Canis lupus familiaris: one gene and its partner. The protein of the gene in region 1 purifies or fractionates together with the protein of each later gene. This does not show direct contact. Links are inferred from orthologs where the notes say so. Each region holds a gene or a part of one and is shown in the gene's direction. Other genes may lie near its edges.

Region 1 (4,141 bases):
GCAGGTAGGGCCAGCGCCCGCCAAGCTCCAAGCGGAGAGGAAGGGGGAGGTGCCTGGCACAGGGTAGTCGCAGTACCTGTGCTGGACCCCAATTCTCACCCAGCCAGCCCTCGACCTCCCTGTTTTACAGCCAAGGATGGGGAGGCACAGAGAGGTCCAGAAGCTCTGCTCATGGGTAAACGACTGATACACTGGTTCAAGCACCTGGCCTGGGGGACACCCAGGGCCACCCCTCTCCAGACCCCACCCCTGTGGCCCGCGGAGAGAATTTGCTCCACGGTCTTCCGCATCTCTGACGCCTTCCATTGTCCCTTTTGGCAGAGTCCGTTTCGGAGTCTGAACTAGCAGTTATTTCTCCGGTGGAGCAGAAAACGCAGCCCTCCCTTGGCGGGCCCCACTCTTCCTTCCTGTCGCAGTAGAGCCACTTGCAAGAGTTGGGGCGCTGGCTACTCTCCCCCCCCGCCCTCCGGGCTGCTGCGCAGGGTGTCAGGGACCCCGCCTCACTGTACCCTGGGCCTGGCTGCTGTCGTCCTCGCCTGGCTTCCGGATGCCCCTCTCCCGGGCTCCCCTGGGTCAACTCCGCACATCCCTCAGCAAATCCCTTTTCTTCAGAATCTTCCTGCACCTGAGCCCCAGCCCCGCCGCTCCCCGGGTCCGCCCTGCCCCGCCCCCGTGCAGACCTTGAGGGCCTGACTCCTTCCCAGGTGGGGCCCCCACGAGCTTGCCCGGTGCACCCTCATCGCCGGAGTAACACTGGCCGGGCCTGCCCGAGGCTCCTCGAGCCCGGATCCTACCCCGCAGCGCCAGTCGGCTGCTCACAACCGCGCGCGGGGCGGTGCCGGGCGGCGCCCGTGCTTTCCCGCTTCTGGACCCGACGGGACTGGGGCTGGGGTCCCCCCAGGCCGTGCCCTGCACCTGGAGGAAGCCGCGGCGGCAGAGCGGCGGGCCCCGCGGGGCTGGGGGCGTGGCCGACGGAGGGAGGGCGGGGCCTCCGCGTGGGGGCGTGCCCGGGGGCGGGGTCTCAGGGGCGGACGACGGCCGCTTCCATTCGGCCCGGGCGGGGGGCGGGGCCCGGACTGTATCATTCCCGGCGGGGGAGGCCGACGAGGAGCAGCCTACAGGCGGGGGCCCAGACACCACGAGTTGCCCAGGACGCTGGTCTTCCCGGGAGGCGGGCGGCCTCAGGAGGTGCCTTCGAGGTCTCGAGGCCCCTGGCCGCGGCGAGGGCGCCCTCCGCCACTTCAGGCTCATCTCCATCCCCCCGTCCCAGTGGTTCCCGCCTACGGGCGGGGCGGGGAGGGAGGGCCCCGGAAGCCGGGTCCGTGCACTTCCGGGTCGGGGAGCGCGCGGCGGCGGCGGTGGCAGCGGCGGCCTAGTCGAGGCGGGCTCTCGGGCGGCGGCGGCCGGCTCCGGGGGTCTGCCGGAGGGGCTCCAGGCTCTCGGGTACGTGCGGGGCCCGCGGCGGTCTCGGGGTCCCGGCCGCGCCCCGGCCGCGAGGGCCGTGCCCGAGTGCCGCGCGCTTTGTCTGCGGCCTGCCCCGCGGGGCGAGGCCTGCGCTGCGCTGGCTCCCGGCGGGCGGCGGGCGGCGGGGAGGGCGGGCCCCGGGCGGCGGGGGGCGGGGCGGGCGGGCCCCGGGCGGGCGGGGGCCCTTCGGGCCGCCGCCTGGGCGCCCCAGCCGCCCGCGCTGTCGCCCTCCCCGGTGTGGGCGGCGTGTGACCGTGTGCCCACTCGTTTCCAGCTCCTGGTAGTCCCTGCTCGCAGCGGCCTCGTCGCGGTCCCGGCGGTCCCGGCGGCCGAGCGTTCGCGGGATGCATTGCTGCTAGCTCCCGCCGTCCTCACAGCACGCCCGGGAGGAGGTACTGCCCTTCTGCCCTGCACGGGGTCCGTCGGAGCTCGGACTCCTGCTCCGCGCTGTTTGCAGCGGCGCTCGTGCCTCAGCTTGCGGCTTAGGAGGCTGTAGCACCTGCCGTTCTAGGGAGCAGGTGCTAACCCGTGCGCGAGCCTCCGCCGGGCCGGGGGTCCCGCCGAGCCCCTGGCTGCGGTTGAGGCCTCCCGGGACCGCCGGCGGTCTGCCTTGAAGTTGGAGGAAGTGCCTGGCACCTTCCAGTGCGTTCTCCGCGCCAGGCGGGTGGCTGGGGGCCTCTCCGCAGCTGCCCAGCCTGGACTCTCGCTGGCCGGGTCAGCCCCGTGCAGACCTTGAGGGCCTGACTTCTTCACTCCTATTGCAGTTCACAGTTTCTAGGTCTCCCTCCGTGTGGGCAGACCGCCAGTACTGGACGACGGTCCTGGCCGGGTGTGACCTGCTGGACCTGGCCCAGGTGCCAGTTACCACCAGAAGTCCTTTATGCTTCCTTAGTAACGGTTGGAATCGTAGGTGCTTTGGGTCCTTGCGTTTGGAGGTTTAATTATTTCCTCTAAACCCCCCTGAATCTGGAGGTAGAGCGGGAGAGCCACAGAGCACTGCCAGCACTGGCCTGTGGTCTGGAACATGTCAGCGGAGGTGGGGATGGTGGATGTGGGCAGGCACGTCTGAGCTGGGCTGCAGGTGGGGCCAGTAGGTCCTAGGCTGGGGTCCCGGTTAACACAGTTCTGACTGCAGACGTCCAGACAGGGAAAGGGCTGCTGAGGGGTCTCTAGTCGTGGCCTCTTCCTCGGTGTTTGCACAGGTGCTTGCTCTGGGAAATACTTTCAGAGGCTACCTGGGATCTTGGCCAGTGGTTCCCTGTCATGTGGTGATGGAGGGACAGACAGTGATCAGCCTCCTAGTTGACACTCTGCTGCTGCCCTCACCAGCTGTGGTGGAGGAGCACCGGGCCCACGGGACCTAACCCCACAGGTGCAGGGACTCGGGGGCTGGTATTTCTGGCAAGCCCCTGTTGTGCCAGACCTCACCGTGGCCTTGTTGACCTTTTCAGGCAGCCCTCTGAGGCAGGTCCTGCCACTGCCCGTCCCGGGTGGACCTAGGTCTTAGTGCACTAGGGGAGAAGCCAGGGGCTGTTCATTCATAGTTTTGACTTTGTGCTTGTGTAACACATTATCAAGATAAGGATCTGCACCCTAGAAACCACCCTTGGCTGTGCTCTGTCCTCTCTTGGGTGGCCTCAGGGGGTCACGTTTTCTGGTGTCTGAAGTGTCCCTGGTAGGTTTTCGTGTGTTAGTACTGTCAACCCTTGAGCAGCACCAGGATTTAGGGCTGCTGATCACCATGCAGTGGAAAATCCGAGTAGATCTTTTGATGATGGTGTACTGTTGAGCGGAAGCCTCACTGATAACACAGACAGTTGATAAACGCGTGTTTTGTGTGGTTATGTAGCGTATCCTAACAAAGTAAGCTAGAGGGGAAAATGCTACGAAGAAAATTGTAAGGAAGGAAAACACACTTATAGTAACTGTACTCATCCAAAAAATTTGCACGGAGTGGATCTGAGTGGGTTTGTGCAGTTCAAACCTGTGTTTTTCAAGGGCCAACTGTATTCACCTCTGTTGTAGGGCAGGAAAGGTGCTCATACTTCCGGGGCTGGTTAGGTATTGGAGCAGGTGTTCAAGTACCACTGTGTGGAGTCCAGTTGTGGGAATGGTGGTGACACCTGGAAGGGCTGTGGCGCTGTCCTGCCCTGTGGTCTGTACACCTCCAGCAGGTTGCCTGGGTCCCAACAGTGTTGCTGAGCCACCAAACAGGGTGCACACCCTTAGTTGAGTGGGACCGTGGCTCATTTTCTTAACTGTTAAACACTAAGTAGAAGAAAAGTGGAAGCTTTAAGGGGTTGGTAATTGTACAAAAGCACCTCGTAGTATGCTATTTCCAGGTACAAACGATATGAGGAAGTTGATAGTTTCCTCAGATTAACATGCCCTCGCTATGTTAGGAAACATCATCCTAGAATCTGGGGCTTTGTAAGGGAAGTTAGGCACTTCAGAATCTGAATCTGGCTTTGGCCCCACCGGGAGGTGATTGTCTGGGAGCATCTGTACAGAGGTGGTGGTGACGGCCCCTGGGAGAGAAGCCTGCCTGTGGGATCCACGACGAGAGCCTTACCTGGCTGGACCCACCTTCCCCCGCCCTTGCCTTGCCTCGCCTCTCTGCCTTCTGGTCTTTTTTGTGACCCCTTTCCTCTGACCTCAGACTTGGCCCCGCTACATT
Region 2 (3,645 bases), on another chromosome or scaffold:
GGGTACCATCTGAGGCATGGTTATTGTCCTCTGTCGCAGCAGTAAGCTGCCCCTTGGGAGATTGTATTCACGTGAAGCTGTCACAAATAATATGCTTGCGTTGGGAGGTTGGTAGACAGTGTGCTTACTTTTCTCTGTGCTTTCTTATCTAATAGGCTCTGGATTACTGCCACAGCAAGGGAATCATGCACAGGGATGTGAAACCTCACAATGTCATGATAGATCACCAACAGAAAAAGGTACCGTTGCAGCCAGGCAGCAACAAGGCTTTTCTTAAAAGGTCTAGGGCAGACCACAACTCTAGGTATTGACCTAGGAGGGACTGCAGACCAGTACTGTTTTCTTTGGCAGACTTGTGTTATTGTTATTTCTCCGGTCTCCAGTGTTGCTTTCTGCTCTGCATGAGCATGGTACACAAGGAAAGTAGACCCGTGAGCCTAACTGTAGTCCCTTGTTTATTTTGGTCATGGTTTTCCAGAGGGCCTCGCAAAGAAACTCCAGCAGATGGTTTGTACTTCTTTTAATGACCCTTAGACCAGTCTGCCTAGCCTTTACACTTGGGTCCCTCCTGTTTTTCATATCCAATTCTGGTTGTCTCTGATTGGTGAGTAAGTGATTCCACTACTGTGTGATTAATGAAAAGCTGGAGCAATGCTTCAATCCTGGGGTGGGGCCTGGGTCTCCAACCCTTTGTGTTGTGGCTTGAGCTTATGATGGGAGCTGTTAATAATGGGGGAATGTGTTATATGCAAGTAAAACAGAGGCAGAGTAAAAAGCTTAAGCTTGATTGATGGGAAGAGAATGATAAGCCAGGATAATTTAAATTAAAAAAAAAAAACAACAACAAATAAGATTCTGAAAGCTCTACTGTAGAGGTGACCTCTTCCACAGTTGCTGAAAGGGTAATTTTTGCCAGTGCACTGGCTAACATTTGTTATGTAGCGCACATATTGTCAGCTAACGTGATGTGGCCTTTTTCTAAGGCACAGGTGTCTAGAAACACTCCTTTACGGGTTTGATTTCTGTTGTGTTTGTAGCTGCGGCTCATAGACTGGGGTCTGGCAGAGTTCTACCACCCTGCTCAGGAGTACAATGTCCGTGTAGCATCGAGGTACTTCAAGGGACCGGAGCTCCTTGTGGACTATCAGGTACAACTCACGCCTCCTTTGTGTGTTTCCTTAGGGCTTCTCCTCGTGTGCTGTTTATTAAGTCAGTTTGGATACATTCAAAACCCCAGCCTGAAGCAGTCATTTCAGATTTTTCTCAGTGACTTTTTTTTTTTTCTTTGAATTCTAAAATATGTGCAAAGGTCAACTGAAGACTAGAAATCCAGATCAAAGAAATACATTTGCAACACCTTTCACTAACAGGCTGACCTTGTTTCCCCAGATGTACGATTACAGCTTGGACATGTGGAGTTTGGGCTGTATGTTAGCAAGCATGATCTTTCGAAAGGAGCCCTTCTTTCACGGACAGGACAACTATGACCAGGTGAGCAAACACTAACTGGCTCTTCCCCATGTGGGGGCACATGCCAAAGAAATGGGAGTCTGTTGACAGGGATGCTATCCTTGAGTCACTCAGTGTCTGCACTTAAGTTCTCCTTCAGGGTAAAGAGCTTCATGAGATTTTGTCTGTGGTTACTAGGTCCCCAAACATAGAGCCAGATAAAGCTATCTTACTAAGCTCCACGTATGCCCCACAGTGAGTCTGTGAAGAAGTCAGACACACCTTGTCTAACAACTAGCTTCTAGATTAGATTGTGATGCCCCCGTAATTGTCAGCTTCTGGAAGATTATTGTCTTAAGTTATTACCATTTTATTTTTGTTTTGTTTTTAATTTTTTTTTTTTTTATTTATTTATGATGGTCACACAGAGAGAGAGAGAGAGGCAGAGACATAGGCAGAGGGAGAAGCAGGCTCCATGCACTGGGAGCCTGATGTGGGATTCGATCCCCGGTCTCCAGGATCGCGCCCTGGGCCAAAGGCAGGCGCCAAACCGCTGCGCCACCCAGGGATCCCAGTTATTACCATTTTAAAGGGAGTTTGGAAATTTGCTTTCTGTGAACATCATTGGCCTTTGGTCTACCTCCTGTCAGCCCCGGGCTCCAATCTGCCTCTGGTCCCTGGAGATTCAGTGATGGAGAAGTCCTCTCATTTCTTGGGATAGCATCCTCACAGGCTTGCGGTGAGCTCTGTGCTCAGTAATTTGGTCAGTTTGTTTTGTGTTTCAGCTTGTTCGCATTGCCAAGGTTCTGGGTACAGATGAGCTGTATGGGTATCTGAAGAAGTATCACATAGACCTAGATCCGCACTTCAACGATATCCTGGGACAGTAAGTAAGAGAGAGGGAGAGAGAACGAGGGTTTTAACTAAACCCATTTCAGAAGAGGGAATATTCGCCGAAATCACTTGCTAATCATAGCAAAGTTGAAAATACCCTTCTTTTTTCTCATGTATGCTTTTTAAAACTTGTTTTGAGGTTTGGGCATTGTTTACATGTGTCTTCTGATCGTTGTACTTCTCCAAGAGATAACCTGTCAGTCCATAGAAAATAGGAGACAAAATCCTGTTACAGTGAAATGCTTTGCAGGACAGTGTATGCTTATTTTAATGGAAAATCTTAGAAAGCTGTGATTCTTCTTTGAGGAAGAGATTTATAGTTTTTTCTTGTTCTAGTTAACGGGTTTTCTACAAGGTGGCAAATTTTATTTTTTTTTAAGATCTTATTTATTTATTCATGATAGACATAGAGAGAGAGAGAGAGGCAGAGACACAGGCAGAGGGAGAAAAGCAGGCAGGCTCCATGCCAGGAGCCTGACGTGGGACTCGATCCCGGGACTCCAGGATCGCGCCCTGGGCCAAAGGCAGGCACCAAACCGCTGAGCCACCCAGGGATCCCCCCAACGTGGCAAATTTTAAAGCATATTTGCAGGTACAGTGTACTAGTGTTGAAAAGTAAATGCGTTGACAGTTCTCAGTGTTTTGTGGAGCCTCTGTTTCCAAGGCTAGCTCTCTAAATATTTTTGCTGCACAACAAAAATAACTCTGTCACCTCTGTGCCTCACCAGAATTGACTAAAAGCCTGATCCATAAGAAATGATCTAGGAAGGTGCCACAAATTCTAAATCAGATGTAGAAGCTTTAGTTCATTTTATCAGAGAGCATGTTTTTTGTTTCAAGATGCCTCAGATATTCCCGTGGAGGGTGGGGCAGACACCTGTGAGAATGAGATTTAATAAGTTTATAATCCTCCTGGGGTTCTAAGATTCTATTGGCTTTAACCATGGTAATGTCTGGATTCTTGTTGAATTGAATCTCAGTACCAGTGCTTCCCTTTCCTCCTCAGACATTCACGGAAACGCTGGGAAAACTTTATCCACAGTGAGAACAGACACCTCGTCAGCCCTGAGGCCCTAGATCTTCTGGACAAACTTCTGCGATACGACCATCAACAGAGACTGACCGCCAAAGAGGCCATGGAGCATCCCTACTTCTGTGAGTCTCCAGGGACCATTTGCAGGGGCCTGATTTATTAAAGGAATAAGTCTCCTGTTCTTTATCTTTGAGGCCAGTCAGGAGAATTCTAGGTGTTTGGATTGAATCATCCTTGGAATTTGGCCTCATTCATTCTGGACTATTGAG

The links. The genes of interacting proteins can lie anywhere in the genome.
Region 2: the proteins of PHRF1 (region 1) and CSNK2A2 purify together in Homo sapiens (affinity purification with mass spectrometry; 3 studies listed by BioGRID and IntAct, counting the BioPlex papers as one, with this or other methods). This does not show direct contact. The link is inferred for Canis lupus familiaris from reciprocal best matches to the Homo sapiens genes PHRF1 and CSNK2A2.

What each region holds. Positions count from the first base shown.
Region 1 is NC_049239.1:26,028,543-26,032,683, forward strand, and holds the start of PHRF1 (PHD and RING finger domain-containing protein 1), read left to right. Parts: upstream 1-1,340; 5' UTR 1,341-1,443; intron 1,444-1,738; 5' UTR 1,739-1,856; intron 1,857-2,081; exon of another isoform or gene 2,082-2,106; intron 2,107-4,141.
Region 2 is NC_049223.1:57,697,655-57,701,299, forward strand, and holds part of CSNK2A2 (casein kinase II subunit alpha'), read left to right. Parts: intron 1-155; coding exon 156-239; intron 240-1,037; coding exon 1,038-1,148; intron 1,149-1,389; coding exon 1,390-1,491; intron 1,492-2,234; coding exon 2,235-2,335; intron 2,336-3,349; coding exon 3,350-3,498; intron 3,499-3,645.